Linked DNA regions of Macaca mulatta. The protein of the gene in region 1 interacts with the protein of each later gene in a biochemical or structural test. Links are inferred from orthologs where the notes say so. Each region holds a gene or a part of one and is shown on either strand. Other genes may lie near its edges. The genes, in order: LGALS3BP, LGALS1 and LGALS3.

Region 1 (9,946 bases):
TCCAGGTTGGCCTCTCTCGGGCCTGTGCATTTGGCCTAGGCCTGCACCCACTCCTAGGAAGAGCACCTTTTTTTCTGATTTGCATGAAGGGGCCAACACAGGCAGCCGGGTCTCAACTCCCCGTATGAAGGAATCAGGCAAAAGTCGCCAGCTGCTGCCACCCAGAGGGCGGAACGCCACCTGCCAGGTGCTTCGTTGCCCGCTTTTTTTTTTGAGACGGAGTCTTGCTCTGTCACCCAGGCTGTAGTGCAATGGCTCACTGCAACCTCTGCCTGCCAGATTCAAGCAATTCTGTTGCCTCAGCCTCCTGAGTAGCTGGGACTACAGATGCGCACCACCACGCCCAGCTTCTTCTCCTTCTTCTCCTTCTCCTTCTCCTTCTTCTTTTGTATTTTTAGTAGAGGTGGGGTTTCACCATGTTGGCCAGGCTGGTCTCGAACTCCTGACCTCAAATGATACACCTGCCCCAGCCTCCCAAAGTTCTAGGATACAGGCGTGAGCCATCGCGCCTGGCCACTTGGCCATTTTTCCAAGGCCCTGAGTTACTCTCCCAGGACGGACAAACCTGGTGGCTGCAGCGGAGTGAAGTGGCTGGGGACAGAAGTGGAGAGGGCGTCCACCCATACCGGCGTGCCTGGGACTGAGGGTTTCCCAGGACACAGGGAAACTTCAGTGCTAAAACAAGCACAGTCCCCAGCACACAGGACAGGCAGTCACACCCTGGTGTCTTTAGCCATCTACTGACATTGACGCAGGGAGGAGAGGTGGGCTCCACCGAGCAGACCCCCTGCCTATGGCTGTGGACGTGGAGCCCATTTACCTCTCTGGGTGTCAGCTTCTTCACTTGTAAGGTGGGGTGTAACTAAGGTGGTTCTCAAGGTCACGGTAAGGCCTCCAGTGGTGCCTGGGGAGCCCTGATAAGGGGTGGCTGCGCAGTGCCAGTGAGCGTGAGTCCCAGAGCAAAGCTCTCACCAGCCAGGGCACCCAGCTCCCAGGGTGCTTGTTCATGCAGACTCCCATGCAGAGGGGCTAGGGCGAGGCCAGCCATGACAGCACTTCCAACAAGCTCTGGCGATGCCATTGCAGCCGTCCACCAGGCCCCCTCTGAGCAGCCTCAAGGTCACCAGGCCCAGACTCCCAGCCGGTGCCCACAGCAGTGCCACCCAGAGGCCTGCCCCTGGCTTGCTGAACTGAGGGGACAGTGTCAGGTGTCACAGGATTCTTACCGAGCCAGAGAAGCCATACCTGTCTCTCCATTGGCAGGGTGTGGGGGAGGGAGGTAGGCGAAGACAAAAGCGTGGAAATTACACGGAGGCAAGAACACCAGGCCAGAAGGCGGAGACCCGGACCTCCCCAACCGCAGCCTGAGTGTCAGTGTCTTGGGGATACTTCAGCATTTCCTCCCCGTTCTTCCCCCAGCATGGCCCACCCTGGGCTGCAGCCCTGACCCTTTTCCCCTATCTTCCCCATCCGAACACCATGGAGCCCCGATGTGTCTCCTTGCTGCTTATCTGTCACCCCGGCCCAGCCTCCGTGGCCTCTCCTGACGAGTCCCCTCCCATCCACTCTGCAGGCTGCCTTTGCCTGCTTAGGCCTCTGGGACAGTCCCTGTGGGGGTCTGTTGCCTGAAGATTAAGGCCCAGATCTTAACCAGGCTCACCCGGCCTCCCGACCTCGGCCTGTGCCCATGGCCTCCTCCCTCTCCACCCTCCCCGCCCATGCCCATGTGGCGGCCTTGCCCGGGGCCTGGTTTTTTGAGATGAGCTCACTTGCCTCTAGTCACCGATTCTTGCTGTCCTTAACTGCCAGGGGGTACCCCCAGCCCACCCCTTCATCTAGCCAAGTCTTACACATCCTTCCAGGAGCATGCTGCAGACCAGGTGAAGGGGCCCCTGTGGGGCGCTTCCATAGCACCCATCACACTTACTGGGACCACAGTGGGCTCTGCAGGAGAGGGATCCCGCCTGCCACACAGCCCAGGTCGGGCTGAAGGGTTAATGGGCAGGCCGGTCCCCGGGCTTCGGGCCACCTGGCTCCCGTGCCTCACTCTGCCGCTTCTGTCTGCAGCAGGATCTGGGCATCCAAGCACCGCCATGGCCCCTCCGAGGCTCTTCTGGGTGTGGTTGCTGGTCGCAGGGACCCAAGGTGAGCTGAGCCCCTGGGAAATGCCAAAAGCAAAAGTCTGTGAGGCTGCTGCAGCCTGGGTCTGTGCAGAGCTTCAAGGAGATGCTCTGCCTGGGGCCCGGGGCCCAGCGGTTAGCCAGGTCTTCTCTCCTGCCTGCGGCACCAGGTATCCCAAGTGATGGTGGCTTGGAGGTTCCAGGGGGCTCACCTGGGCTCAGGTGAGATGCAGGTTATAGATAGGACACTAAGGAGTCCTCCATTCTGTCCAGAGGGAACCAGAGGAGCTGGTCAAACCAGCAGTCACCGGGGCTGTGGTGAAGTCAACGGCCTCGGACGCAGGTCAATCTTCCAGAGGGTCCTGGCTGCTTTTCCTCACATCCTTTGCACTGTGAGCCCCTGGAGGCTCACGCTCATCCTGGGGGCCCCACGGAAGCCAGATGTGCCCCCAGCTAGATTCAGGCACCCAGCTCCTGCCCGGCTCTGTCAGCTCCTATAGGGGCTGGAGTGTCGGCAGGCTGAGTCCCAGAAGGACGTGTGGAGTGGGAATCCCATTCTCTGCCCTGGAAACATTCCGCCTGTGCTCCCAGGGGTCCCTAGGCCTGCGCCCCCACAGGCCAGCACCCCCAAACTGCAGACACCCTCGGGCGGGTCAGCACAGGGCCTCCATTCCCCCACGATCCTTCCCCCGGGGTCTTGCCACCTCCATTCCCAGTGCTTGAGAACCTGGGGCTTCTCTGCCCCTGTTCTGTCTATGGAGTGAAGGGCTGAGACCCCTAAAACAAGGAAAGGCGAGTTTAGCCTCCGTGGGGCAGGGGGCTGTATGTATCTTCCACTCCTCCCTCATGGAGAGGCCAGGGGACCTTGAAACCCTGGAAAAGAAGCTCAGCAGGGGAGACCCAGGACAGCATGGGTCCTGGAGGTGCGGGCGGTGGGTGCCGCAGGCCCCAGCCTGGCCCTCGCTCGTCTCTACCTGCAGGCATGAACGATGGTGACATGCGGCTGGCCGATGGGGGCGCCACCAACCAGGGCCGCGTGGAGATCTTCTACAGAGGCCAGTGGGGCACTGTGTGTGACAACCTGTGGGACCTGACTGATGCCAGCGTCGTCTGCCGGGCCCTGGGCTTTGAGAACGCCACCCAGGCTCTGGGCAGAGCTGCCTTCGGGCAAGGTAGGGCCTGCTGTCCCCGTCCTCCAAAGCCGAGACCCACAGCACAGCCAGCTCCCAGGCAGGGCAAATTCCCGAAGATGAGACAGTCAGGTTTCAAAGACATGCAAATTGGATTACTATTAATTTAGCAAGAGCAAACAAACAATTTTTTTTTTTAAACGGAGTCTTGCTCTGTCACCCAGGCTGGAGTGTAGTGGCACGATCCCGGCTCACTGCAACCTCGGCCTCCTGAGTTCAAGCGATTCTCCTGCCTCAGCCTTCTGAGTAGCTGGGATTGCAGGTACTTGCCACCATGCCCGGCTGACTTTTGTATTTTTTAGTAGAGAAGGGGTTTCACCATGTTGGCCAGGTTGATCTTGAACTTCTGGTGTCAAGTGATCCGCCCGCCTCAGCCTCCCGAAGTGCTGGGATGACCACACCCGGCCTAAGAGCAAACACTTTTGATGGCGCTGAAGCCCTGTGGATCAAGTTCCGGTGGGACTGCGTCACCCACACTTGGCCGGTGACGGTGGCAGGTGCTTGGGCAGGTTCAAGAGCTGGGCTGGGCTTGTTCCCTCCGGCCCAGAAACTCCACTCCAGGAGTTTATCCTCTTGAAACAATTTCCCCTCAAAAGAAAAGTCTGTATGCAGGAAGATTTCCACTAACACAGCAGTTGCAATTCTGGAAAAAAAAGAGAAACAATCCACCAACTATTTTGCAGCAGGGATAGTCACACAAATACAGTATGTGCGCCTGATGTTGCAGGGACAGGCACGCAATTACTGTACATGAACGTGATGTTGCTGCAGGAGCCAGTAAGCTTTGTAAGCATGAAGGCTAAGTTTATGGCCTGACGTTGCAATCACAAACCCAGCCCTTGCTGGAATATCCACCGTGGTTCGCCGGTGAAGGACCTGTACGCAGACGGACCCGCACGGCTGGGGCGCGGAACAAAGGGCTGAGTCTCGCTGTGGGACTCCTAGGTGCAGTCATCACACCCCCAGCCCTGCCATCTGCTGTGTCCACAGGATCAGGCCCCATCATGCTGGACGAGGTCCAGTGCATGGGAACCGAGGCCTCGCTGGCTGACTGCAAGTCCCTGGGCTGGCTGAAGAGCAACTGCAGGCACGAGAGAGACGCTGGTGTGGTCTGCACCAATGGTGAGCACTTCCCTGCGGAGGCCCCAGCGTGCCCTGGGGTCCCGTGGCCCCTGCCCCTCCCGGCACCACCCCCCCACACACGAAGCACACAAAGGTTCCTTCCACTACCACCTGCCCACTCCGCATGGAGAGTCCCGGACGTCCAAAGAGCCCACCAGCTCCCAGTCCCACAGTCCTGGACTCCTCCCCAGCCCCTTCTGGAGAAACGCCCAGAACCACCAAGTCTCCATGCGGAAACCGAGTGTGGGGCAGGGAGCCACAGTCTCAGTGAGCAGGACACCTGGCTGCAGCCCGACCTGAAGTGCCAGCGCCCGCTCGGAAACACACTTCACAGCATGCGACAGGCTCAAGCCCGTCCTGGCGGAGGGAGGCCCGACCACTCGCCGCCCCAGCCAGCTTCCCCCAACCCAGCCCGGTGTGGAGGGAACCCAGGCTGCTCTATGGGTTGGAGCCCCTGGATCTGAGTTTCTTGTGTTTCTTCCGTGCCAAGGTGGTTCTTCCTGGGCTTGCACGGGACAGCCTGGGCACTTCCTGCCTACCGCCCTTTGCCAGGAGCTGGAGGCCCCTAAGGCAGGAGGGGTCGAATCCCAGGGAGCCCCTGTGCCCACATGGGATGGACAAATGACTGGAGCTAAGCCTGGACTCACAGTGCGGGAAGCCCACGAGATGCCATGGGGCTGTCGGGGGCCGGGGGAGGCCAGGCGGAGCATGCGGGGCTGTGGGTGCCGGGCAAAAGCTCCTGGGGCAGGAGAGCTGTGGTGAGGCGTGCAGGTGGGAGGCAGCTGGGGGTCCTGCAGTGGTTCAGGTTTTAGGAGGCCCAGGGCAAGCCCACCTGGTTGAAAGGTCATGGTTACTTCAAATCTATTATATTTGTGACAAAGAAAAAACTATGGGATTTCGTTTTGAGTTAGGCTTTGAGAGGGGCTCAAAGAAGGGGGGAGGGTATACCACACTGACCCCTGACCCGGGAGCCTCCCATGACTTCTGCAGGTCTTGTCCCCCACAGGAGGCTGCTCGAGGACCCCCAGAGTTCTAAAATGGGGTTGCCACAGGACCCTCACTTTTCAGGCCATCTAAGCAGGCAGTGGTTTTGGTTTGAGAAGGGCAGTGTCATTGGTGGTTGATGACTGAGGCTGGGGAGTGGGGCTCCAGAGTCAGCACCACCAAGTCTCCCTGCAGAGCTGCTGCCTGAATCGGGGGAGCAGCACAGAGCAGAGGGCCTAAAGCGGGGGCCTGGACAGGCTTGGCCAGGTCCCAGCTGCTCTTGTTCCCCAGGGCTGGAAGGGGTGGGGCCTCACGGCCCAGGGATCCGACACTTTCGGTCTCTCCTGTCCCTTATCTTCCCAGGAGCCTTCCAGAGTGGATGAGGCAGCCACGAACCCCCCACTTTCAGATGAAGACGCTGCCCCCAGAGAGTGGCAGCGTCCCGGCTCCTAACGTAGCCTGCTTCCCTCCCGCCCCTTCTTAGAAACCAGGAGCACCCACACCCTGGACCTCTCCAGGGAGCTCTCGGAAGTCCTTGGCCAGATTTTTGACAGCCAGCAGGGCTGCGACCTGTCCATCAGTGTGAGTGTGCAGGGCGAGGACGCCCTGGGCTTCTGTGGCCACACGATCATCCTGACTGCCAACCTGGAGGCCCAGGCCCTGTGGAAGGAGCCAGGCAGCAATGTCACCATGAGTGTGGATGCCGAGTGTGTGCCCATGGTCAGGGACTTTCTCAGGTGAGCCGTCTCGTCCTCAGGCTCTGGGGCTGCCAGGGGCTTTGTCCTCCTCCCTGCTTCAAAAGCACACCCACACACACGCACACCTGCACACACTCTTGCATGCACATGTACCGTTGTCACACGTGCGCTCGCGCAGTTGCACACACACGCATGCTCGCTCCCACGCTGTGCACACTCGGGTGGCTGTGTTGGACAGGCAGGCTCAGGGCTCCCCTGCTGTCCTGTGGGGCTGGCATCCACTCTCCCTCTTTCTCCCCAGGTACTTCTACTCCCGAAGGATCGACATCGCCCTGTCGTCGGTCAAGTGCTTCCACAAGCTGGCGTCTGCCTATGGGGCCAAGCAGCTGCAGGGCTACTGTGCAAGCCTCTTTGCCATCCTCCTCCCCCAGGACCCCTCGTTCCAGACGCCCCTGGACCTGTATGCCTATGCACTAGCCACAGGGGACACCCTGCTGGAGAAGCTCTGCCTGCAGTTCCTGGCCTGGAACTTCGAGGCCCTGACACAGGCCGAGGCCTGGCCCAGTGTCCCCACAGACGTGCTCCAGCTGCTGCTGCCCAGGAGCGACCTGGTGGTGCCCAGCGAGCTGGCCGTACTGAAGGCCGTGGACACCTGGAGCTGGGGGGAGCGCGCCTCCCATGAGGAGGTGGAGGGCTTGGTGGAGAAGGTCCGCTTCCCTATGATGCTCCCTGAGGAGCTCTTTGAGCTACAGTTCAACCTGACCCTGTACTGGAGCCACAAGGCCCTGTTCCAGAGGAAGACTCTGCAGGCTCTGGAATTCCACACGGTGCCCTTCCAGTTGCTGGCCCGGTACAAAGGCCTGAACCTCACCGAAGATGCCTACAAGCCCCGGATTTACACCTCGCCCACCTGGAGCGCCTCTGTGACGGACAGTTCCTGGAGTGCACGGAAGTCACAGCTGGTCTATCAGTCCAGACAGGGACCTTTGGTCAAATATTCTAATTACTTCCAAGCCCCCTCTGACTACAGATACTACCCCTACCAGTCCTTCCAGACCCCACAACACCCCAGCTTCCTCTTCCAGGACAAGAGGGTGTCCTGGTCCCTGGTCTACCTCCCCACCATTCAGAGCTGCTGGAACTACGGCTTCTCCTGCTCGTCCGACGAGCTCCCCATCCTGGGCCTCACCAAGTCTGGCGGCTCAGATCGCAGCATTGCCTACGAAAACAAAGCCCTGATGCTCTGCGAAGGGCTCTTTGTGGCAGACGCCACCGATTTCGAGGGCCGGAAGGCTGCGATTCCCAGTGCCCTGGACACCAACAGCTCCAAGAGCACCTCCTTCTTCCCCTGCCCAGCAGGGCACTTCAACAGTTTCCGCACGGTCATCCGCCCCTTCTACCTGACCAATTCCTCGGGTGTGGACTAGATGGCGTGGCCCAAGGGTGGTAAGAACCCGAGAACCCCAGGACGCCCTCACTGCAGGCTCCCCTCCTTGGCTTCCTTCTTCTCTGCAACCACCATCAACAACCGTCCACCAGATGTCCCCCTACTCCCCTGAGCTCTCAGCTTCAAGAAGACTTCCACTCGTGTCCGCCAGGAGTTCTCCCACTGCCTCACCAGGTTCCAGGTGGTAAGCACCAGGGCGTCCTCGAGGTCGCTCTGGGGTCCCCCCACAGCCCCTGGTCAGTCTGCCCTTGTCACTGGTCTGAGGTCATTAAAATGACATTGTGGTTCCTACATTTGTTTGTACAGAAAGTGTTGTTGGGTCTATACCGTGTTTAGACATCAGGTGTGCCAGGCTCTGGGGGGCAGGGAATGAGGCAGAGTCCCTGTCCTTGTGAAGCTACTGGCTAGCGGGGAAGATGGAACAGGAAGCACACCTCCCAGCCCGGAGCAATGACACAGTGGGACACGAGCAGGAGGGTGCGCGTCACTGCACACGTGCACGTGGGTGTGTGATTGTGTGGGCATAGGCGTGTGTGTGTTCATGAAAGTCTGGCTGTGACGGGTGCCCTCACCCCTTATCTGGATGGGTGTGCTTTATTTTATTTTATTTATTTATTTTTGAGACGGAATCTTTTTTTTTTTTTTTTTTTTTGAGACGGAGTCTCGCTCTGTCGCCCAGGCTGGAGTGCAGTGGCCGGATCTCAGCTCACTGCAAGCTCTGCCTCCCGGGTTTACACCATTCTCCTGCCTCAGCCTCCTGAGTAGCTGGGACTACAGGCGCCCGCCACCTCGCCCGGCTAGTTTTTTGTATTTTTTAGTAGAGACGTGGTTTCACTGTGTTAGCCAGGATGGTCTCGATCTCCTGACCTCGTGATCCGCCCATCTTGGCCTCCCAAAGTGCTGGGATTACAGGCTTGAGCCACCACGCCCGGCCAAGACGGAATCTTGTTCTGTCGCCCAGGCTGGGGCGTAGTGGTGCGATCTTGGCTCACTGCAACCTCCACCTCCCGGTTTCAAGCGCTTCTCCCGCCTCAGCCTCCTGAGCATCTGGGACTACAGGCACCCGCCATCATGCCCGGGTAACTTTTGTATTTTTGTAGAGATGGGGTTTCACCATGTGGGCCAGGCTGGTCTTGAACTCTTGACCTCAGGTGATCCACCCACCTCGGCCTCCCAAAGTGTTGGGATTCCAGGCGTGAGCCACCGCACCCAGCCTATAGGTGGGTGTGCTTTTGTGAGCACTACCTCCTGCTCATGTCCGACGGGAAGGGAAGGATGCTGAGGCAGCAAGGTCAGGGCTGCACCTCTGGCGGGGCGATCGGGTCTCTGGAAGACGTGACCGGGCTGGGTCGTGGAGAGCAGCAGACAGCAGACTGTGGAAGCTGGGAGGAGGGAGAATGAACAGCAGGAGTTAGGAAGCTTCGCTCTGGAAATCCTTGACCACGGGGACAGGGGACAGAGATTCTCATCTCAGCCTTGTAAGAGTGAAAAATTGGCAACAATGTCAATACCCACCAACAGGTGCTTGACTACAAATAAAAGACACCTCCCTGGGCTGAGTGAGGTCGCGGAGAGGTGCGCTGGAAGATCCTGGGAACCACAGAGTCTCAGGGGAGGCTGGAGGACCCGCTGGATGCCGGAGAGGCGGGGGCATTCGTGACAATGCCACAGCAGGTTCTGGGCACAGAACGTCGCTCACCACCAGCAGGAATTCGGAACTGCCCCTGCTTCTCCATGGCCTGTTGCAGGCACAGAGTCCCCAGGGAGGCAGCTGCTGGGCCAAGCTCAAGCTGGCACCTGCTGCTGTGCCAGGGTCTGGGAGGACAAGAGTGTGGCCTCTGGAATAGGAGGTGGCACAGGGCTCCCCTAATGGGAGGGAGGTTCAGATGCTGAACAGCTAAGACGGCGGCAGACCCCCCACCCACCCTCTCCCCACGGGTGCTGCAAGGAACAAAAGCAGGCTCACAAAACCTCCTGCCTGCGAAGGCAGCTGCTCCCTGTGCTGGAGGGAGACCCCTGCTCTCCCCACCCCCAACCTCCAGATCCTGCGTCCAACCCAGCTCCACCATCCTGGCAGGACATCCCCTCCTCTTCCACATGTTTTTTGTTTGTTTTGAGGCAGGGTCTTACTCTATTGCCCAGGCTGGAGTGCAGTGATGCGATCTTGGCTCACTGCAAACTCTGCCTCCTGGGCCCAGGCAATTCTCCTGCCTCAGCCTCTGGGACTACAGAGTACCTGGGACTACAGATGTGCACCAGCAGGTCTGGCTAAATGTTTTTCTTCTTTTTTTTCTTTTTTTGTATTTTTAGTAGAGTCGGGGTTTTGCCATGTTGCCCAAGCTGGTCTCGAACTCCTGGGCTCAAGCACTTTGCTCACCTCGGCCT
Region 2 (11,098 bases), on another chromosome or scaffold:
CTAGTGCAGTCTTTTTCTTTTTTTTTTTTTGAGACGGAGTCTCGCTCTGTCACCCAGGCTGGAGTGCAATGGCACAATATCAGCTCACCGCAACCTCTGCCTCCTGGGCTCAAGCAATTCTCCTGCCTCAGCCTCCCAAGTAGCTAGGATTTACAGGCATGTACCACCATGCCTGGCTAATTTTTTGTATTTTTGGTGGAGACGGGGTTTCTCCATGTTGGTCAGGCTGGTCTTGAACTTCCGACCTCAGGTGATTCACACACCTCGGCCTCCCAAAGTGCTGGGATTACAGACGTGAGCCACTGTGCCTGGCCTAATTTTTGTATTTTTAGTAGAGACGGGGTTTTGTCATGTTGCCCAGGCTGGTCTCAAACTCCTGATCTCAGGTCATCCACCCACCTCGGCCTCCCAAAGTGTTGGGATTACAGGCGTGAGCCACCACACCTGTTTTTTTTTCTTTTTCTTTTTCTTTTTTCTTTTTTTGAGACGGAGTCTTGCTCTGTGGCCTGAGAGCAGTGGCACGATCTCGGCTCACTGCAACCTCCACTTCCCGGGTTCAAGTGATTCTCCTGCCTCAACCTCCTGAATAGCTGGGACTACAGGCGCCCCCCACCACGCCCAGCTAATTTTTGTATTTTTTAGTAGAGATGGGGTTTTGCCATATTAGCCAGGCTGGTCTCGAACTCCTGACCTTGTGATCCACCCACCTCAGCCTCCCAAAGTGCTGGTGTGAGCCAGCATGCCTGGCCAACTAGTGCAGTCTTAACAAAGTTTGCCAGATGAGGAAACTGAGGTTCAGAGACGTTGAATAACTGGTTCAAGGGCACACAGCCACAGAGCTGGGGTTTAAACACAGGTCTGTCTGACGCCAAGCTGGGTTTCCTTCCTCCACACCCAGTGGCCTCTCTTACCTGTCCCAGGACTTTCCTCTGCCCAGTTGTGGCCCCAGTCCTAGTGTCTTGTGAGTGTCAGCCAGTGTAGGGGAGAATCAGTGTGGGTGAACTGAGGACCAGGCAGGGCAGCCTAGGGGACGTGTTCTCCAATGTCCAGCAGAGGGCGCTCCATCTGCAGCCAGGCTTCCGAAGCTGTTTCTGGGTGGCCACCTGGGAGCCCCAGGAGAGCCTGGAGATTGGGTGTGGCTCGTGGGAGTTCTCAGCCTGTGTGTTCCATCCTCTTTGACCTCTCATAGAGAGGTGCGTGTCCCCAGCTCCCACCTAGGTCCCAGGGTACCCACTGAGATGGGAATCATCCACCCAAGATGGGTCTCATTTTATGGATGAGGAAACTGAGGCTGGGTGTATAAGAGACCTAGTCACAGCTGGTGCCAGTTGCCCTAGAAAGGGAGATTTGCCAAGCTCCCCACCCCCCAACCCACACACCATGCCTCAGGAGACTGTGCCTTGGGGCTATGGGGGAGCCCAGTAATGATTCTAACCTTCTGTACCTTGGCTCAGTTCCTGCAGCTGTTTCCCAGGGAGGTAGGGGCCCTGGGAAGATGTGACTGCAGCAGCAGGCAGGAAGGAAAAGGTGCAGGGAAGTGTTCAGTGTGCAGGGCACCCCAGCTGTCCACTCAGGCCCCATCAGTTGTGATGGGTGGGTGCATGGGATTGGGTTAAGCATTACCCTCCAAGGTAACAGCCTGGGCTGGTCTTAGAGGAGACATCATCTTTGGAAACCAGGAGAACAGGTTCATGGAGACCTCATCTCAGGTTGGGTGAGTCACCCCTACTCTGTCCCCTGAGGAGGAGGCTGCGGGAGTCTGGAGGCTGGGCCTCATATTGGCTGGCTTTTACCTCTTGGTTCTCTGCAGGGGCTGATGGAGCCCCCAACCCCAGCTCCTCCTACCACAGAAACAGGGGCTGGCAATGGGGTGCCAGGGTCATCACCTACTTTCCCATTGTTGGGGTGGGGGCATCTGCCCAGGAATGAGAGCCGGCAGCTTCCAGACTAGTCCTTTGGTTGCCCATACACTCTAGCTAAGTGGGGTGCATGGCCCAAGCCCACAGACAGGATCCCTGGGGAGCTCCACAGGCTCAGCTGGGCCTGGTACAGACCTGGGAGTCATTTCATCTATCAGAGCCCATTTCTTCACCTTCAGATTGGAGTAATAGCACTTCAAAAGTGGTGCAGGGAGCTGGGTGCAGTGACGCACACCTGTGGTCCCAGCTATTCAGAAGGCTGAGGCAGGATTGCCTGACCCCAGGACTTTGAGGCTGCAGTATGCAACCACTGCACTCCAGCCTGGTTAACATAGCAAGACCCCATCTCTTAAAAAAAAAAAAAAAAAAGGCTGTGCACGAGGTATGGGAAACCACCAACCACTGAGTATTTGCCATATGCAGGTGTTGAACTTGGCTTCTTTCATGCAACACCTCATTTAATCTCCACTTGATCTCAGCCAGAAGGCCAAGAAGCGACTGATCTTTGGAACAACTCTTTGATAGGCTGTTTGCATTATCCCCCTTGTTATAAAGGAATAAGCTGAGGCTCACAGAGGTCAGTTAACATGCACAAGGCCACACAGCTGGCACCCCATGTTGTCTTGACTCCACATCTCTACCTCATGAAGGCAAATGAGGGGTCTCGTATTCTTCCCTCCACCTCTCTGTCTTCTGTCCCGTCACCACACATGAAGTGGTCTGTCCTTGCCTGTTTCCCCCTTGATGTCATTTACACAACATCCTTTGAGCATCTGCTGTGTTCTAGGGCCCACTAGGCTAAAAGCAGTTTCAGGGCAGGGACTGATTTTTATTCAGTGGTCACTGACCCTCCTACTGTGTGTCAGACTCTCTGTGCTTGCTCTGGGGGACCCAGCGGAAGACATCATTGGAACTGAGGAGGTACCCGTGGACAAAGCAAATGGAAGTGAAGGAAGGGGGCAGGCCTGGAGGTGGGGGACCCCTCTCTCTCTCTCTCTCACACACACACACACATGCGTGCGCACACACAAACACATACACACACATGAGGCTGGTTCAGAGGGGGCAGAAGCAGCTGCCTTTATTGGGGGCCATGGGCTGACTGATTTCAGTCAAAGGCCACACACTTGATCTTGAAGTCACCGTCAGCTGCCATGTAGTTGATGGCCTCCAGGTTGAGGCGGTTGGGGAACTTGAATTCGTATCCATCTGGCAGCTTGATGGTCAGGTCGGCCTGGTCAAAGGTGATGCACACCTGGGGGTACAGGAGAGCAGTGAGCCAGGCCCACAGGCCATGGGCCCTTCCAGAACCCGTTCCTCATGTGGCCCTGACACAGCCCCAGTTTGTGGCTGAGCCTACGGAGGTGCATTTATAATATTTTTTCTTTCTTTCTACTCTAATCCTATGACAGATTTTTTTTTTTTTTTTTTTTTGAGACGGAGTCTCCTCTGTCACCCAGGCTGGAGTGCAGTGGCGCCACCACGCCTGGCTAATTTTTGTATTTTTCTCCATGTTGGTCAGGCTCATCTCGAACTCCCGACCTCAGGTGATCCGCCCGCCTAGGCCTTCCAAAGTGCTGGGATTATAGGCATTAGCCACCGAGCCCAGGCTTTTTTTTCTTTTGTTTTATTCTAATTAACCACTGAGGTTCCAAGAGGGGCAGACACTGGTCATCACACAGGAAGGGAGGGAAGAGGAGGAGAAAGAGAGCAGGCAAGGCCAAGATCTCTAGTCACTAACCCAGCTCCGCCCCAGCCCACCCAGCCCCTGTCCCTAGTCCCGGTTCCGGTCCGCAGCCCACCTCTGCGACACTTCCAGGCTGGAAAGGAAAGGCAGCCTCCCGCTGCTCGGTCCCCCAGGCCCCACCGTCCTTGCTGTTGCACACGATGGTGTTGGCGTCGCCGTGGGCGTTGAAGCGAGGGTTGAAGTGCAGGCACAGGTTGTTGCTATCTTTGCCCAGGTTCAGCACGAAGCTGGGGGGTAATGGGTGGGTGTGAGGCCACCTCGGCCAGCTCCAGCCCCACCGACTGACTAATCTGTCACTCAGTACTCCACGAACACACTTTGCTTGAAGAACTCACTAACAGAGACAAGAAACCTGGATTCTAGCTCTGGCCCTGACAGCTGCTTACGGTGTGAACGTGAGCTAGTCCCTGCCCCTCCTTGCCTGTTTGCTCATCTGTACAATGGGGGCTGCACAGGAGGACTTGCTAGATTCTTGAAGTCACTAGCGTCCTAGCCCTTTTGGTCAAGGTCAGAGACTTCCTCCAGATGGCAACTTCACGTCCTGTCTTGTACATCTGTGTTCCTGGTGCCCAGCACAAGTGGGGCACACCAGAAGGAGATGCTTAGTAATTATGGGGTGAATTAACAAATAATAATACTCCTGGGCACGGTGGCTCACTCCTGTAACCCCAGCACTTTGGGAGGCCGAGGTGGGCAGATCATGAGGTCAGGGGTTCGAGACCAGCCTGGCCAACATGGTGAACCCCCATCTCTACTAAAAGTACAAAAAGTAGCTGGGCGTGGTGGTAGGCACCTGTAGTCCCAGCTACTCGGGAGGCTGAGGCAGGAGAATCGTTTGAACCCAGGAGATGGAGGTTGTGGTGAGCCGAGATCAAGCCATTGCACTCCAGCCTGGAGGACAGGGTGAGACTCCGTCTCAAAAAATAAAATAATAAATGCATTTGTTTAGTGGTGATAATAGCTATACCTGCCTCTGAGGGTTTGGTTGCAATGAAATTAGTGCATGAGAAGTGTACGGCTCTTAACAATATCAGCTCTTAACAATATCAGCCGATCCTCACCCTCCTCATCATCACTACACCATCGGCATCTCACTTCCTCCACACAACCACCTCCCCCCCCTTGTTTTTCTAACAAAATGAGGCTAGGTGAGGTTGGTTGACTGGTCCAAGGTCACATAGCTGCTGAGAAAATAAGGCAGCCGGCTGAGTGAACGAGGAGTGAAGGAAGAAGGACAGGACTGAGCCAGTGAATGAATGACCTGACGCAGGAGGGAGGGACTCAGAGGGAAGGCGGCGGTGACTCCCGCCTCACTCTTCTCCCCGCCCTCCCCAGATGCAGGCCCCGCCCAGACCGGAAAGGGGTGGGGGCGGGGGAACCAAGGTATTATAGATGACGAGGCTGCAGCTGTTGTAGTTTAAGAGGCTACAGCAGGGAGGGAGCGGGGGAGGGGGCGGCAATGGTGGGGGCGCCCAGACCCCGCGGGGGAAGTGAGTCACCCAGAAAGCGCAGCAACGTCGGCCGGCCGTTAACCCACTCTCGGCCAGGGAGGAGACGTGGACTTGGCCGGCCACGCCCTCTCGGCTGGACCAAGCCCCCATCCCTGCCGCCCACCACCCTGACTTCACCTCTCACCTCTTGGCGTCGGGGGCCACCTCGCCCCGCACTCGGAGGCACTCTCCAGGTTTGAGATTCAGGTTGCTGGCGACCAGACCCTGCACAGACAAGCCCCGGCCCAGCAGGTTAGAGGACAAGGCCTCCACTACCCGAAGTGTCCGGGGGTGGCTGGGGGTGGGAGTGGGGTTGTTCCCGCCCGGCATCCTCTGACCAAGCCAAGGGGAAGCCTGGGGACAGGATGGGGCTGTGATTTCTAGCCTCTGATTCTCTGTGTGGTCCTGGAAAAGTCCCTATTCCCAACAGGGTTGGCTTCAATCTGTAATGTGAATCAGGTTCTAGAAGACAGGCTCTAGAAGATTTTGCAGATTGGCCTGGGGATTTTGAACTCAAGAGTGGCTTGGGAGGTGGGGTGCTCTGTCCCATCGCAGATAGAGAGGATCAGGCTGGGGAGGGGCAGGCAGTTGGCCCACAGTCACACTGAATGCAGGGGTCGACCCCTCTGCTGGAGAGGAAGTGGCTAGGGGGACACTACTATTCTCCTTCAAGCTCCTCTCTGCGAAGAGGCCCAGGGGCTAGAGAGGAGACCCTGAAGAACACGGCCCCTCTGCATTAGGGAGTGGCCTGCAGTCGGGCTGTGGCCAGGCTGGTTCAGGGTTAACAAGATTGAGAAAACTGCTGCGCACTGCTGCTCCCTGGCACCCCGAGTGGGTGGGCAAGAGTTAACTGATTTGAGTGGTTTCTTCTGTCAGAAACTTGAACCCTTTCCCTGGGGCCCGAGGAAGATTCTCACCTCCCTGCCACCCCAACCTCCCAGCTTGGGGGTGGTGGAAGGGAATTTCCCCGGCTCCCCTCCCTCCCACCAGCCTGGACACAACCACCCTCCACCCCCGACCTAGAAAGGCCCATCCTGGGCAGCCTGTCTCGGGTCCTGGCGACTTTTCAGCGTATTCTGGAGCAGAGGGTGACTCTGCCCGGGCCTGGTGACTGGGACAGCTGCAGGGGGGAGGGGACGGGAGGCTTTTTGGGGTGGAGGAGGGGGAAAGATATAGTGGCCTGGGTGTCCCCCAGTTGGCCACACCCTTCCCACGCTCACTACTCAGAGAGCTGCAGAATGTCAACCCTGGGCAGAAATAACTGTGCTTTCAGACCCTGGAGGAATCCAAACAATTATCAATGCAGAGAAGGCCTTGAGGGACCATGGCGCCCACCCCAATTTTACAGATGTGGCTACTGAGGTCTAGAAAAGAGAAGGCAGTGGTTCCAGGCCACACAGCTGGGGCTAGAACCCTGCTCCCGATCTGCCCAGCTCTCCTCCGGCCATCAGCTCCTGCCCTATCCCCTGGACCTTGGGGTGGGGTCCCCACACTCACACAAGCCATGATTGAGGCCAGGAGGATGTTGCCAGGAGAGGCGCACCAGCTGTTAGAAGACTCCACCCGAGAGAGATGGGCCCCCGGACGCTCCCACCCTTTTAACGGGACCGGACCGGGTGAGCCCCGCCCCCTGGAAGTTCAGCCAATTGCAAGTCAGGACAGGGCTGGGGGCCACCGAGGGCGGAGTCCGTGGAATTTTGAAGCCAGTTCTGGAGCAGAGGTGACCAATCAGAGTGGCCATCTGCCGCCCCCCCACGAGGGTCCAAGCTCCACCTCCTATTCTTCATCCCTCTCCACCTCCCCCTGCCCCGCCACCACCGAAATTGTGCTGTGGCAGAGATTGGGGGAAGCCAATGGAAAATAGTTTGATGATGAGCTAGGCCCACGAGTTGGCGGGAAGGGGCCTGTGGCCAGCAGGCTGAGCTCAGGGGGTGCCCAGAGAAGATGGCTGAGGAGGTGCAGGGTCCTTCAAGGAATCAGAGCTGGGAGAGACCAGGCCACTCCAGGGCAGGGACCAGGGCGTGGCTCCTGCGTGCGCGTCTGCAGAGGGCCACCGACTTAAACCACAGGCCCTGGCGCCACCCGGGCCTTCCCCGGAAGCAAGGACTGCGGCTGCTGCAGCGCTTGCTCGCTCCTAGCTAAGGCTAAGGAAAGGCTGGGCTGCACGCCAAGCCTTAGGTTGCAGGGCTTGGCTAAGTCCTCGGGCTTGGCCCCCTTCAGGGGCATGCAGGGGATAGTCAAAGCGCCCTGGCCTGACAGCCTCTGGCCTGAGTGTCAAGCTGGGGAGATGGCCCAGGGTGGTCCAGGCCAGGAGGGGGTGGGGTCCTAGCTCTGTGCACCTGTCAGGCCTCTGAGCCCAAGCCAAACCATCGCATCCCCTGTGACTTGCACGTATGCCCAGATGGCCTGAAGTAACTGAAGAATCACAAAAGAAGTGCAAATGCCCTGCCTTGCAGTAACTGATGACATTCTACCACAAAAGAAGTGAAAATGGCCAGCCCTTGCCTTAAGCAATTATATTATCTTGTGAAGTTCCTTTTCCTGGCTCATCCTGGCTCAAAAAGCTCCCCCACTGAGCACCTTGTGACCCCCACTCCTGCCTGCCAGAGAACAACACCCCTTTTACTGTAATTTTCCTTTACCTACCCAAATCCTATAAAACGGTCCCGCCCTTATCTCCCTTCGCTGACTCTTTTCGGACTCAGCCCGCCTGCACCCAGGTGAAATAAACAGCCATGTTGCTCACACAAAGCCTGTTTGGTGGTCTCTTTACATGGATGTGCATGACAGCACCCTGTCCTCTCTCTTTTTTATTTTTATCTATTTATTTTTGAGATGGAGTGTCACTCTGTCGCCCAGGCTGGAGTGCAGTGGCATGACCTCGGCTTACTGCAACCTCTGCCTCCCAGGTTCTCCTGCCTCAGCCTCTTGAGTAGATGGGACTACAGGCCCCCACCACCATGCCCGGCCAATTTTTGTATTTTTAGTAAAGACGGGGTTTCACCTTGTTGGCCAGGCTAGTTTGGAACTCCTGACCTCAGGTGATCCACCTGCCTCGGCCTCCCAAAGTTCTGGGATTACAGGTGTGAGCCATCATGCCTGGCCACCCTGTCCTCTTTCTTCACATCTCTCCTCTGAGGCCTGGCACAGCCCTCCTTTCCCCGAGTGTTCAGCAGGTGTTTACTGAGCACCTACTATGTGCCTGGCCCTGGGCTCTCAGGATTCAAAGATGAACCCCTCCCAGTCCCCACTCTCAAGGAGCGCATGGTTGGGGTGGAATCTTACCACAACCACGTTGAGAAGTAGATGATGGGCTGGGTGCAGTGGCTCATGCCTGTAATCCCAGCTCTTTAGGAGACCGAGGCGGGCAGATTACCTGAGGTTGGGAGTTTGAGACTAGCCTGACCAACACGGAGAAACCCCGTCTCTACTAAAAATACAAAATTAGCCGGGCGTGGTGGCATATGCCTGTAATCCCAGCTACTTCTGAGGCTGAGGCAGGAGAATCACTTGAACCCAGGAGGCAGAGGTGCAGTGATCCAAGATCAGGCCATTGCATTCCAACCTGGGCAACAAGAGCAAAACTCGGTCTCAAAAAAAAAAAAAAAAAAAGAAGAAGAAGAAGTAGATGATGATGGCTCTAAGGGAAGCCATGAGAAAGTGCTATGGTGGGCTGGTGGCTGCATGAGTAAAGGAGGTGGGTCGTGAAGGGTAGGCGGAGAAGCGCCTGGCTTTCCGGCATGGGCAGAAGCTCCGGAATGGGAAGGCCAGGGCTGGGGAACAGTGTTCCGGGCATGTAGGGGAAAGACGGGGATGAGGCTGGGAAGCCATCAGGACCTGGATCATGGAGGCCTCATGGGCTGGGCACAGGGCTTGGACATTATTGTACGGGAGGAGGCTGGGGAGCCAGGGTTAGTACTGAGGCCAGATCTGGGCTGTAGGGAAGATCACTGTGGCAGAGAATTGAGGGTGGGTTGGAGGGGTCTCAGGAACCTGGTGGAGGAAGGGGTGTGGGGAGCACTGGGAGAAGTGAGGGGCATGCTGGGGGGTTGTCACAGGGATGACCTCCTCCACCTGGCCATCCTCCTTCTGAAACTGCTGGCACCAAAGAGGGACGAAGATGCCAACCGGGAGTGACTCACATCTGGAGGCCAGGCCAGCAAACCCACCCTGCCCGACCCTGTCCCCCAGGGGCACCTTCCTCCAGATGCCCAAAGCCCACTCTGGTACAGGATGAGAGGGGAGTGTGTACGGTCACAAGGCGGACCCAGAGAGGGGATGGGGTTGCATCCCCGTGAGTGCCTTACCCCTCCTTCCAGACCAAGTGGCTGCTTGGAAACCAACCACAGCAGCTTCACTTTTTCCTCCTGGCCTCCCCAAAACCTCAACCATAGGAAGGGCTGGGTATGGCCCAGCCCAGCTCCACTGCCCCTCTCCCATGCCTCCCCTCTCTGCCAGATCAAGGAATGGGGCCTCTCAGGCAGAGTCCTAGATGGAGGGCCAGAGGCGCTTCAGGTGTGGTCCTGGCAGGGCTGTGGGCAGGTGGGTGTGGCCACTTTCCCAGCCCAGCCCAGTAGTTGGGTTCCTGTGGCCTCAGGAGCTGCTCCTGCTTCCTCCTCCACCCTGGAAAATGGGCCCAGCACTGGGGAGTGTTTGCTGTTGGATGGAGGGACAGTTTACCCCTCTGCAGCATCCGGCATGAGTGGGGCTGGCAGGGAGGCAAGGTGGCATGGTGAAGAGGTCCCCAGACCCCAGAAAGGCCTATTTGGGAGTCTGGACACACAGGTGCTGGCCCTGCTTGCTATGTCCCCTCAGAGCCTCCTGGTAAACTGTTTCTGCCACTTGCCTCAGTCTCCCTATCTGTAAACTGGGGAGATGAAATCCTGCTTTCCTTGCATGAGGTGAATACAGGGTGGAACTGAGGTCTGTTGTACTAAAACAGATGATTCGTTTCTTCATGGAGGCTCAGAAGGTTTTCACTTCCTTCTTGTCGCTTTTGCCAGGCTGTTGCCTTCCCCGAGTCTTTGCAGCGCCTCTGGGAGGTCTACGTGCCATCCCCAATTGGTCCCCAACAGTCTCCTCTTGCCTAGGTTGGGGCAGGAAGTCTCTCCAGATTCCAGTGTCCCCTGGGACGGGAGCTGTGGTTTTCCTGGCGGGGAGGGAAGGCAGGGACACAGGTGCATCGTGGGCCTCCTCCCCCAAGTCCTCAGGGCCTCTTGGTGGCAGCGCCCACTTATCTTGCCAGGCCTTGTGCCCGGCGCCTTGCTTTCATTATCTCCTCTCTCATCTTCCCCTCACCCCTACTTTGTGTCTGCCAACTTGGTTGAATTTCTGCACAGGGAAATGAGGCTGCAGTTAGAATCAGGAGAAGAGGCCTGGCATGGTGGCTCATGCCTGTAATCCCAGCACTTTGGGAGGTTGAGGATCACTTGGGGACAGGAGTTCGAGACCAGCCTGGCTAACATGGCAAAACCCCATCTCTACTAAAAATACAAGAATTAGCTGAGTGTGGTGGTGGGTGCCTGTAATCCCAGCTACTCGGGAGGCTGAGGCAGGGAGAATTGCTTGAACACCGGAGGTGGAGGTTGCAGCGAGCCAAGATTGCACCATTGCACTCCAGCCTGGGCGACAGAGCAAGACTCTGTCTTAAAAAAATATATATATATCAGGAGATGAGACGAGAGGTGAGCTCTGATTTGGGGTCTGAACGGCTGCAGCTGTAGCTGAGGTCCTTGGCTTCCCTGAACCTGTTTCCAGACCCGGAAGGTGGGAATAAGGCCACTGCTTGGAGGATTATAGGAGTGATGTCTAAGGAGGGGCTTGATGTTAGTGCTCCCTCCTGCGTCCCCCAAGGCTAAGGCCACCACCCCAGGGATTCTCCTCCCCACGTTATAACTATCCTGAAATGAGGTAGTGAGCTTTCTGGAATTCCCGCGTCCTAG
Region 3 (10,234 bases), on another chromosome or scaffold:
CATGCAAATTAAAATATGTCTTAGCAAGTGAATTCTAAATGTAAAACATAACTCCGTGGGGGATCCAGATACATCTCAGCCACAGGATCCTTCCTTTCCAGATTTATAGTCTAGTTAGATGATAAAACATATAATAAATATGAGGAAAGAGCTAAGTACCAGTGTGGGATTAGACCATTTCAGAACTATGCAGAAGATGGCACAAGATAGCATTGTCTCCTTTTAGGTCGGTTCAGAGTAGAAAGACTTGGGGGAGTGGGTGGCATTGAGATGGGCCTATACCAGAGATGGTTAGTCAGTTGCAGAGAGAGGGGGACATGAAGGCTGTGGAAAGGAACAGGCAGATGTAAGAGAGATGACAGAGGAAGAACCCCCAGAACCTACTGATTATGTCTTAGAAGACATAGAAGACTGACTTTTCAAGGCTGAGCAATTAGAGCCATCAGCAAAGCTTTAGCCCAAACTGGGAACTCATGAAGGGGAACTGATGGGGGAGGGGGAGGGAAGACCATTCTAGTTCACACTTGTTGAATTTGAGGCACTAGCAGCAAATCCAGGTGGGAAGAAGTACAGGACTAATACACATCAGGACTAGAAAGAAAAGATTTGGATAGGCTGGCTGTGGTGGCTCATGCCTATAATCCCACCACTGTGGGAGGCTGAGGCAGGAGGATCACTTGAGTCCAAGAGGTCGGGGCTGCAGTGAGCTATGATCACACCACTGCACTCCATCCTCAACAACAGAGACCTGGATTTTTGAAACCTTGTCTCAAAAAATGAAAAGGCTGGGGTGATAGTTAAACCCAGAGGGAAGCCTTAAAAAGGGAAAGAAAAGAGGCCATAAATAAATAGAGCTTTGGGGATATTCACAGTACCTTGAATGTAGATGGTCAATAAACATTTGTGGAATGAACCTCAGTTTTAACAGTGTTCATTCTATAAATATTGAGTATCTGCCACGTGCAAAGCACTCTGCTGGAGCCATGTGAGTACAGACCATATGAGAACCCACAAGCCCAGTATGTGATATGCTGCTTGCCCCCAGGAAGCAGAATAACCACAGTGAAGCAAGTGACATGACAGGGCCTTAAGAGTGATACAAAAATGTTAATGTTGATCACAAGATCTAGCTTAAGCCTTTCCAAAAAATAGCCAACATGAATGAGTAGATTGGGATGGCCATAGTAATGAGACTTACTGATGGCTTTCTTTTCAATTATTTGTACATGTAAGGAGCCTTATCTCTTTGGCCCCTGGGCAAAGTGGCCTGAGAGTCTGGACAGATGGCATATACTAGAGTTATGTGTTTTTCACACATATTAATAGTAATGGAACTTCAGCAACATCGTTTTCTTTCCCTAAAGAAACATGACTCCCATATGTACTTGTTCATTCCCAGTCTGTGCCTTATAACCTGCCTTTGCCTGGAGGAGTGGTGCCTCGCATGCTGATAACAATTCTGGGCACGGTGAAGCCTAATGCAAACAGGTAAGGAGAGCAAAATTAACAAGCCTACCCTATTTGTAGATTGGTTTTTGAATAAAGAATGGCCTATTTTGATTTTTTTTTTCTTGCCCTGTCTTACGGTGCTATTTTGAATTTTAATAAAATTTTTAAAAACTACATATTTAGAATCTTGGCTATACCATCATATAGGATTATCCCATAAATCCGTACATATTCCCATATAATTTTGCTAAGCATCGGGGCACTCATAGTAAATGGTAACACACCTTATTCTATACTTTGATATGTATTATGTCAGCTAATCTCCATGGTTGAAGGCAGGATAAGGAATATTGCTTTCCCCTTTTTATAGACAAAACTGAGGCTCAGGTTCTACAGATGATCAGTGGTAGGCCTGGGAACCCGTCTTTTGAGTAGATACTATTTGCTTATGGGTTTGAAGAGATTCTTCAAGTTAAAAACTTCATCATAATAAATCAACCTTTGCTATTGGAAGTGGTTTGATTGATGAGGTGGGCTAGGATGGGGTGAGGCTTTATTTAGGAAAATACATGCTAATTATGGCTGTCCTGGGCCACTTGGCCCTGGTTGTCACCACTGGTTATGTAGTATTTACATATTATACAAAGAAGCTGGCCATGTCCTGAAACCATCCGGGATGCTTGCGCCTGAGGTTAGTGGAAGAATCTCTAGGTCTTATGAACAGTACCTAAATGGTACAGATTCAAGCCATGTACACAGGTTTATGCAAGAATCCATAAACAGTCTCAGTGTCTGTCACCTTGCTCCACATCCTGCCATCAAGAGATGGACTTCACTTCTGATCTGATAATTTCACATTGAAATGCTCATTCGCTCCACCTCAGCCAGCCTCCCCTGTTTCTGCAATGGTAGTCACTATCCTAAGCCAACCCATCTTTCCACACAGCCTAGACAATTTCTGTAAGCACAGAACTTCCCCATACAATAATGCCCGTCTCATAGCAAATTACAAAATATATATATCCTCTATGTCCTTATCCGTATTTCCTCCCAACATCACATAGAACCCAGCACACCTTATCCTGTGCACACAGCACTCATGATTAAATATCTGCTCTCCTCCTCCCACAACCCCTAATGCACACTGAATACCCAGTGTGGTATCCTTGTCTTGTTAGAGTCATTTCACTGGAAAGTTTAGCTCTAATGCTAGAGATGTAGATTGAGACTGGCAGATCAAAACTAATTCTGGTTGAAATGGTTAATGGTAGTAAACTAAAAAAACTGTTGCTTAGTCCTACAAATTCTATATGACGAACTGCATAGAAAAAAAAAGTACTTAAGGTGACAGAGATGACAACATTGTATATTTAGTCAAATACAAATTCTATTGCTGTTTTTTCCTTACAAGTTTAATCACTGGAAGATCATTTGTGGTTGAATGTGACTTTTACTGGGTGAATCAAAATACAGAGAATCTTTGTTAGTTGGTCTCGAGTGCAGACCTGGCTTTAAAATAAGAATACCTACTGATGATTCTGGTGTTACTGCTCTATAGAGCACACTTTGAGAAACTCAGGGATGGGGTTAGTCAAAGAGGACTTGTGTTTGCATTAACATCCAGGGAGAAGGAACAGGGTCAAAAAGCTAAACTAGCAATTTCATTGGTTCCAGCTCACATCATAGAATGTTTACCACATTTACTATCATGACTTTACAACTTAGCAACAAGATACTGAATATTAACTACCTTATCTCATCCTTGCTGTTTTAGAGGAACTAGGGCTTCTGGTTAATTACGAGGAAGCCAGGCATTTGATGGCTGTTAACTATATAGCTGGCTTGCCTTTACCAGGTATTGAAAGCAAACTGGAAGAGCAGGAAACATTATCTATAGTAAGGGATAAAGTATCCTCAGAGTGGCTCTAAACCTCTGTAAGAAAACCTCGAAGGGTTTTCATGAGTCTGTAAAGGAGGCATTACAGATGAATGGAAATATGATCGAAGACAATGAGGCAAAAAAAATTCAACATATATTGTCTTGCTTACCTTTAGATTTTATGATAGTACATAGAATATCAGGTGTAGGATACTTTCCAGTTTGAACCCATTCTGATTTGCTTTCTGTTCAGAAAAATTTCCTAGGTACTGTATTATGAAATTATTTGCTTTTTAGAAAATTATATTCTTTACTTCGTGTAGATATACAGTTTTAATCATTTTAATAACTGGTCTTTGGTTTAAAACAGAATTGCTTTAGATTTCAAGAGAAGGAATGATGTTGCCTTCCACTTTAACCCACGCTTCAATGAGAACAACAGGAGAGTCATTGTTTGCAATACAAAGCTGGATAATAACTGGGGAAGGGAAGAAAGACAGTCAGTTTTCCCATTTGAAAGTGGGAAACCATTCAAAGTAAGTTATTGCTACTATTATATATTGATAATGTGCATTTCTCATGAGGAATCACTCTAAAACCACAAAGCACTTGAAATGAGTTTTTATCACCTGTCCTAAGGTGCCTAACCAGTGTATCTTCTCCCTGCCCAGGGGACCAGGCTCAGCAGGCTGAGAACATGGCCAGGAGTGGCACACTCCACACTTCTTTCAGGCACCTCACCAGCATCACTGCTGCCACCCTTCTGAGTTTAAGCCTTTCTAGAGATGAAAATAATATAATCTTTAACAAAAAAGGCAAAAGTCTTTATGGTACAGTTGTACTGCAACTTTGTTGCTTAAAACAACACAGTTGGGCTGGGCGCTGTGGCTCACGCCTATAATCCCAGCACTTTGGGAGGCTGAGGTGGGCGGATCACAAGGTCAGGAGATCGAGACCATCCTGGCTAACACGGTGACATCCCGTCTCTACTGAAAATACAAAAAATTAGCCGGGCGTGGTGGCGGGCACCTGTGGTCCCAGCTACTCGGGAGGCTGAGTCAGGAGAATGGTGCAAACCCAGGAGGCGGAGCTTACAGTGAGCCGAGATCAGATTGTGCCACTGCACTCCAGCCTGGGTGACAGAGCGAAAAAAAAAAAAAAAAAAAAAGTTGGCATAGAGATCAAAACTACATGTTTTTTATTCTAAAATTAAAGTTTTATGAAAAGTTTATAAATTTTAAAATTAACAAGGTTTCCTTTCCTTTACTCCTTCCCCCATCCTCACAAAAGATTGCAATTTGATGAGTATCTTCCTAGTGTTTTCTGACATACAGCACGCTTTTTATTTGTAAGCACTGCTTCAACAAATATTAGGTCCACAGCATTGAGTTAGGGTTGACTATAGAGTGGTAAATAAAACAGCTGGACTGTAAACTCTTCAACAACAGGGACAAATAAGGACCATAGTCTACATTTGGTGGACATCTTTTCATATCAGAATATTGTTACTTAATAGCATTTTTTTTTTTTTTTGAGATGGAGTCTCGCTGTCGCCAGGCTAGAGTACAGTGGCATGATCTTAGCTCACTGCAACCTCTGCCTCTCGGGTTCAAGTGATTCTCCTGACTCAGCCTCCCGAGTAGTTGGGATTATAGTTGTGTGCTACCATGCCCAGCTAACTTTTGTATTTTTAGTAGCGATGGAGTTTCACCGTGTTGGCCAGGATGGTCTTGACCTCTTGACCTCGTGATCCACCCACCTCGGCTTCCCAAAGTGCTGGAATTACGGGCATGAGCCACCACGCCCGGCCAATAGTATTTCATTTTTAGATGTGATAATTTAACTAGTACCCTACTGATATAAATTTACAGAATAGAAACACTCCAACCTGGAAATGTTTTACTAAAATACTGTAATAACTATCCTTACAAATATTTTCTTCCTAGAAGCAAATCTTCTAGAAATCTTTGCTTTAAAATATGTATGTTTACAATTTAGATATTATCAAATTGCTGCTTCCAAAAAGATGTAGGAATGAACATCCACTATTGGAAGAGTAGATTTCTCCTACCCTTGCCAAAACTGATTATCACCAATCTTTACAACATTTGCCAAAAGAATCCTACTTTTGTGTTTTTCTTTCAGGTGTTTTAGGCCATACCAGAACTTTTGGTTGTTTTGAGACAGAGTCTCACACTGCCACTCAGTCTGGAGTACAGTGGAAAGATCACAGCTCACTGCAGCCTGTCAACCTCCCAGGCTCAAACGATACTCCCACTTGAGCCTCCTTAGTAGCCGAGACCACAGATGTATGCCACCCACGCCTGGCTAATTTTTTTATTTTTATTTTTGTAGAGATGGGATTTCACCATGTTGCCTGGGCTGTTCTCAAACTCCTGGGCTCAAGAGATCTGCCTGTGCCTTTGCCTCCCAAAGTGTTGGGATTACAGGCGTGAGCCGCCACACCCAGGCTCTTTTAAGTTTTTATGCAGGCAAATCCTTAGCCTTCACCTTTATGGCTTCACTTATATATCCTTGTAATAAATTTGTGGCTTTTAAAAAAAATCTGAATAACTTGGAATTTTTGCTGTAAAGTTACTTTCCCTGGATCTTAACTGGTCCCACGAATGATAAGGATGAAATGTTGGACATCCTGAGTTCAGGCCAGACTGGTTTGAAATTAATGGACTTTTTTTTCCTTTCAGTTGACAAAAAATTGTTTCTATCATGTACATGAAACATGTATATATTGTGGAATGGCTAAATCCAGCTGACATATGCATTACCTCATGTAATAGTTTATGTATATGCCATTTCAGATACAAGTACTGGTTGAATCTGACCACTTCAAGGTTGCGGTGAATGATGCTCACTTGTTGCAGTACAATCATCGGGTTAAACAGCTCAATGAAATCAGCCAACTGGGAATTTCTGGTGACATAGACCTCACCAACGCTTCATACACCATGATATAATCTGAAAGGGGCAGACTAAAAAAAAAGTCTAAACCTTACATGTGTAAAGGCTTTATGTTCACTGTGAGTGAAAATTTTTACATTCATCAATATCCTTCTTGTAAGTCTTAATAAATATTATAGTGAATTACCTGTCTCAATATGTCACTTAATTGGAGTGGTTTATTCTCGATAATGTGCAATGGAAAAAATATGCAGCAATATTAATACTGCATTGGGGCCTCAAGGTTTCCTATACTTGTTAAAATCTTTTTCTTAAGGAAAGAAAGTAAATACTACCTCAAGATTCTCTCTTCCAGAATTTCATTAAAATCAGGAGATGTTCCAAGGAAATTATTCTGTCATTTTCTTAAGGAAATATGTTCAGGAAATGAGAATAGCATTAAGAAAAAGTTTACCTATAGATGACCTATAGACAATTATTGTTAGGATTCTGGTGTATTTCTTGACTGCTTTTTAATCTCATTTCTCCTTCTAAACTATAGTTTGCTGCTTTCAGATCAGTAATTTGATATCAATAAAGGAACATCTCCCTGGTTTTTATGAAATCTCTTACAGAGAAAAAAGGTATCTTATATAGTCAGCTTTCAAAATTTAATTGTTCCCATCGTCAACATTCTTACCCATGCCTTTCTACCCTTATTAGCAGCAAGCCCAAAGATTAATAAAATTCCAAAACTAGGATGTGGCAAAACCACTTCATCTTATAGAAGACCAAATTTTTTTTTTTTTTTTTTTTTTTTGAGATTGAGTCTCGCTGTCACCCAGGCTGTAGTGGCGTGATCTCAGCTCACTGCAACTTCCGCCTCCTGAGTTCAAGCAATTCTCTGCCTCAGCCTCCTGAGTAGCTGGGATTACAGGTGCCCGCCACCATGCCCCGCTAAGTTTTGTATTTTTAGTAGAGACGGGGTTTCACCATTTTGGCCAGGCTGATCTTGAACTCCTGACATCATGATCCACCTGCCTTGGCCTCCCAAAGTGCTGGGATTACAGGCGTGAGCCACCACACCAGGCCCAAAATATTTTATACAATACTACCTTTTCACATCTGTTAAATTAGTAATTGTCACAGGTTGGGTTTCCCAGGAAGCAGAGAGATTAGATCTCAAGAGGCTTGTGAGGGAGTGTACTTGCAATCAGTACATGTGGGGATGGGAAAGACATGATTGGGTTGAGGGAGAAGTTGAGCAATAACTTAGCCTACCCTATGGGAGTTCTGAAGCTGGGATTCTTCAGAGCTGCAAGGGGGCCAGGCCTTTTTATACCCCCACTTTAATCAGTCACTGACTATAGGACAGCTGGGAAAGAATGTGACCTGAGATAACATGGCTTTCTTCAGCTGACACAGCACAGTCCTCACAAGGGATGTTAGCTGAGGGCTGCTGCCAGCAGCACTTCCTGCACCTCAAGGAGTAAGTCCTCTATTGCTAAAGAGGGATGTGGGCAGCATATCATAGCATATTCCAAAAAATTCCTTACCCCAACATTTGGGTCTTGACTTCTACTCTTATTAAATAAATGGAAGAACATAGCTTTGGAGAAAAGAGAGAACTTGGTTTACACAAAATTATTTAAATCCTCTGAGCCTTGGTTCCTTTGTCTATCAAATGCACAGGTCTTATAGAGTTACTGTAACATTAAGTAAAATATTGTTTGCAAAGGGACTGTCAAATAGTAGGTCCTCAATAAATAGCAATTCCCATTCTATTTTGGTAGAAAAGAACTTTTTTTTTCCTCTGACAATACACTGCATTAAGAACTCTTGCTCTGTCCAAAACAGTTTTCTTTCATTTTGTCTCTAAAAATTTTCCTAATACCTCATAATTCTAGACTCCAATAGCCAAGCACGTTATCTAGTAGGGGACACTGATGGTTGCCTACCCAATATCTATTCCTTGTTTCCTAAGAGCCAAGGTTTTATTCAGGTGTGATCCCAGATTCAACAGGGAATTCTGATTCATTTAAGTCAATCCCCTGCTGGCTTACTGATCTGCAGATGGGGATGTGGCATTAGTTGGTCTAATCAGGCCAAAGGGAAGAACATAACTCTAACTGCCAATAGCAGCCATCTTATGACCCCAAAAAGACCCAGCCGTAGAGGAGAAGCCGACATCAAGGATAACAGAATGAACTAGGAACAGAAAGTTGGACCTTGATGTGATCACTGAGCTATTGATTATAAAGTACCTGGAATCACTTTGATAACTTGTGAAATAATAAATTTCCTTACTGTTAAGCCAGTTCGAGTCCATTCCTTGTTTGAGTAATTCAAACAAGCCATGTAGGAAAAAGAAATATACATAAACTAGGGTTTTCTAATGGCCCAGGGCCATGAACAGCTGAAAGCTTTCTAAACAACTCAGTGATACATCTTATTAAAGATCACATTTACTGACATTGTCTTATTCTGATCTGCTTTATTTTTGAGAGCAAAATATTGTTGTGTCGCATATTGCTTTGTATTAACTGTAAATCTTGGGTTTCTTTGTACCAGTTTTTTAAATGTTCATGTGACTGATATGTTATATGATTGACACGATTTTTTTCAAAAGTAAAAAGCATCTCCTCAATGTCTCTTGGGCATGCCAATGGGAAAATGAAAACAAAAAGGCAAGGACTTAATGGGTACCTCTAATGATTGAACTGTTTGAAACCGCAGCATGTCAAACTGACTTCGGAATCCAGAAAGCTCATGTAAAGAAACTCAGAATACTATGGAAAAATGTAATACCCAAAGCTGTTCAATGTCAACAAATTTAGGATTTCAAACTAAGAATAAAGTGTAAAAAGATGCAAATACTTCTGTCACAGGTTAATATTTCAATTAAACTAAAGAATGTTTATAAGCGCTAAGTATACTTAGCCTTAAGCTTATTCCTTTCAAACAAGAGAGGCAAGGCACAGTATATTTTTTATTCTGTGTTGAAAATGTACAAAATATCCCCACTTCCCTTGAGAAAGAGTATATCTAAAATACACTTTGATAAACAGAGTATTAAAACATTATATGATACTATAGAAGTGAACACAAATACATTTTCTCCAAAATTTCAATAGTCTAAAGAATATATAAGCATTGATAATGTGAAGGAAAATGGATTTATTTTTAAATTCAAAATTCTCCTTGTAGAGGTGAAAAAGTAATCAAGTTACCACCAAAAGAAATGTGTCTGGCATGCTCTTGATGTCTCCTCTCCAGCTGAGTAAATGGATTACTGCACTGTAGACCTGGCTGGAGAACAAATCCAGAGAAGTCAGTAAAGTATCCATCACGAGTTTCACCAAGTAATTCTTCAACATTGCTATAGTAAATTAATAAATAACATAAATAAACCGGGTGCGGTGGTGCACACCTGTAGTCCCAGCTACTCGGGAGGCTGAGGTGGTAGGATCACTTGAACCCAGGACTTCAAGACCAGCCCGAGCAACATAGCAAGATCCCATCTCAAAAACAAACAAAAAGAAACATGTAAATATTTTCCCTATATAACAATAAAATTATAAACAACAATGATTATGCTACTTTCCAGCAGATCTTATTTCAAATGTATATTAGTTATTTTTAAATTGGAAAGGTATATTCAGAATATATGTATAAAAATGTGAATAATATGTAAATGGACTCAACCAGTGTATGCAGAATGAATAAAACTGAGGCCATATCTTAAGCCACTTACACAGATTCCATAAATCCTAAACCATATAATAGCACTTAATAGCCCTTTTACTACTGTGTGATCCTGCTGAGATCTTTTTACTCCCTCAAGCCCTGCTTCAAGTTCAAATTATGCTACTGGGGCAAGCAATAATTTGGGTCTAAAATAGACATCTAAATATTAATATTTACAGAAGTGAAAAAAATCAGACTAAATGATAAGGTACTAAGATCTATCAATGAGAAAACATAATTGTGATGTACTTTTAATCACAT

What was found.
Region 2: the proteins of LGALS3BP (region 1) and LGALS1 form a complex in vitro, tested with the Homo sapiens proteins (2 studies listed by BioGRID). The link is inferred for Macaca mulatta from reciprocal best matches to the Homo sapiens genes LGALS3BP and LGALS1.
Region 3: the proteins of LGALS3BP (region 1) and LGALS3 form a complex in vitro, tested with the Homo sapiens proteins (4 studies listed by BioGRID). The link is inferred for Macaca mulatta from reciprocal best matches to the Homo sapiens genes LGALS3BP and LGALS3.

The regions. Positions count from the first base shown.
Region 1 is NC_133421.1:88,654,067-88,664,012, reverse strand, and holds the end of LGALS3BP (galectin-3-binding protein), read left to right. Parts: intron 1-2,067; 5' UTR 2,068-2,093; coding exon 2,094-2,145; intron 2,146-3,100; coding exon 3,101-3,350; intron 3,351-4,196; coding exon 4,197-4,432; intron 4,433-5,900; coding exon 5,901-6,153; intron 6,154-6,415; coding exon 6,416-7,541; 3' UTR 7,542-7,852; downstream 7,853-9,946.
Region 2 is NC_133415.1:13,847,780-13,858,877, forward strand, and holds LGALS1 (galectin-1), read right to left. Parts: upstream 6,723-11,098; 5' UTR 6,663-6,722; coding exon 6,654-6,662; intron 5,382-6,653; coding exon 5,302-5,381; intron 3,894-5,301; coding exon 3,722-3,893; exon of another isoform or gene 3,401-3,721; intron 3,175-3,400; coding exon 3,028-3,174; 3' UTR 3,000-3,027; downstream 1-2,999. UniProt on the Homo sapiens protein: Lectin that binds beta-galactoside and a wide array of complex carbohydrates. Plays a role in regulating apoptosis, cell proliferation and cell differentiation. Inhibits CD45 protein phosphatase activity and therefore the dephosphorylation of Lyn kinase.
Region 3 is NC_133412.1:128,275,246-128,285,479, forward strand, and holds the end of LGALS3 (galectin-3), read left to right. Parts: intron 1-1,399; coding exon 1,400-1,488; intron 1,489-3,698; coding exon 3,699-3,864; intron 3,865-6,147; coding exon 6,148-6,303; 3' UTR 6,304-6,360; downstream 6,361-10,234. Other genes in the region: DLGAP5 (disks large-associated protein 5), read right to left, coding at 9,416-9,535. UniProt on the Homo sapiens protein: Galactose-specific lectin which binds IgE. May mediate with the alpha-3, beta-1 integrin the stimulation by CSPG4 of endothelial cells migration.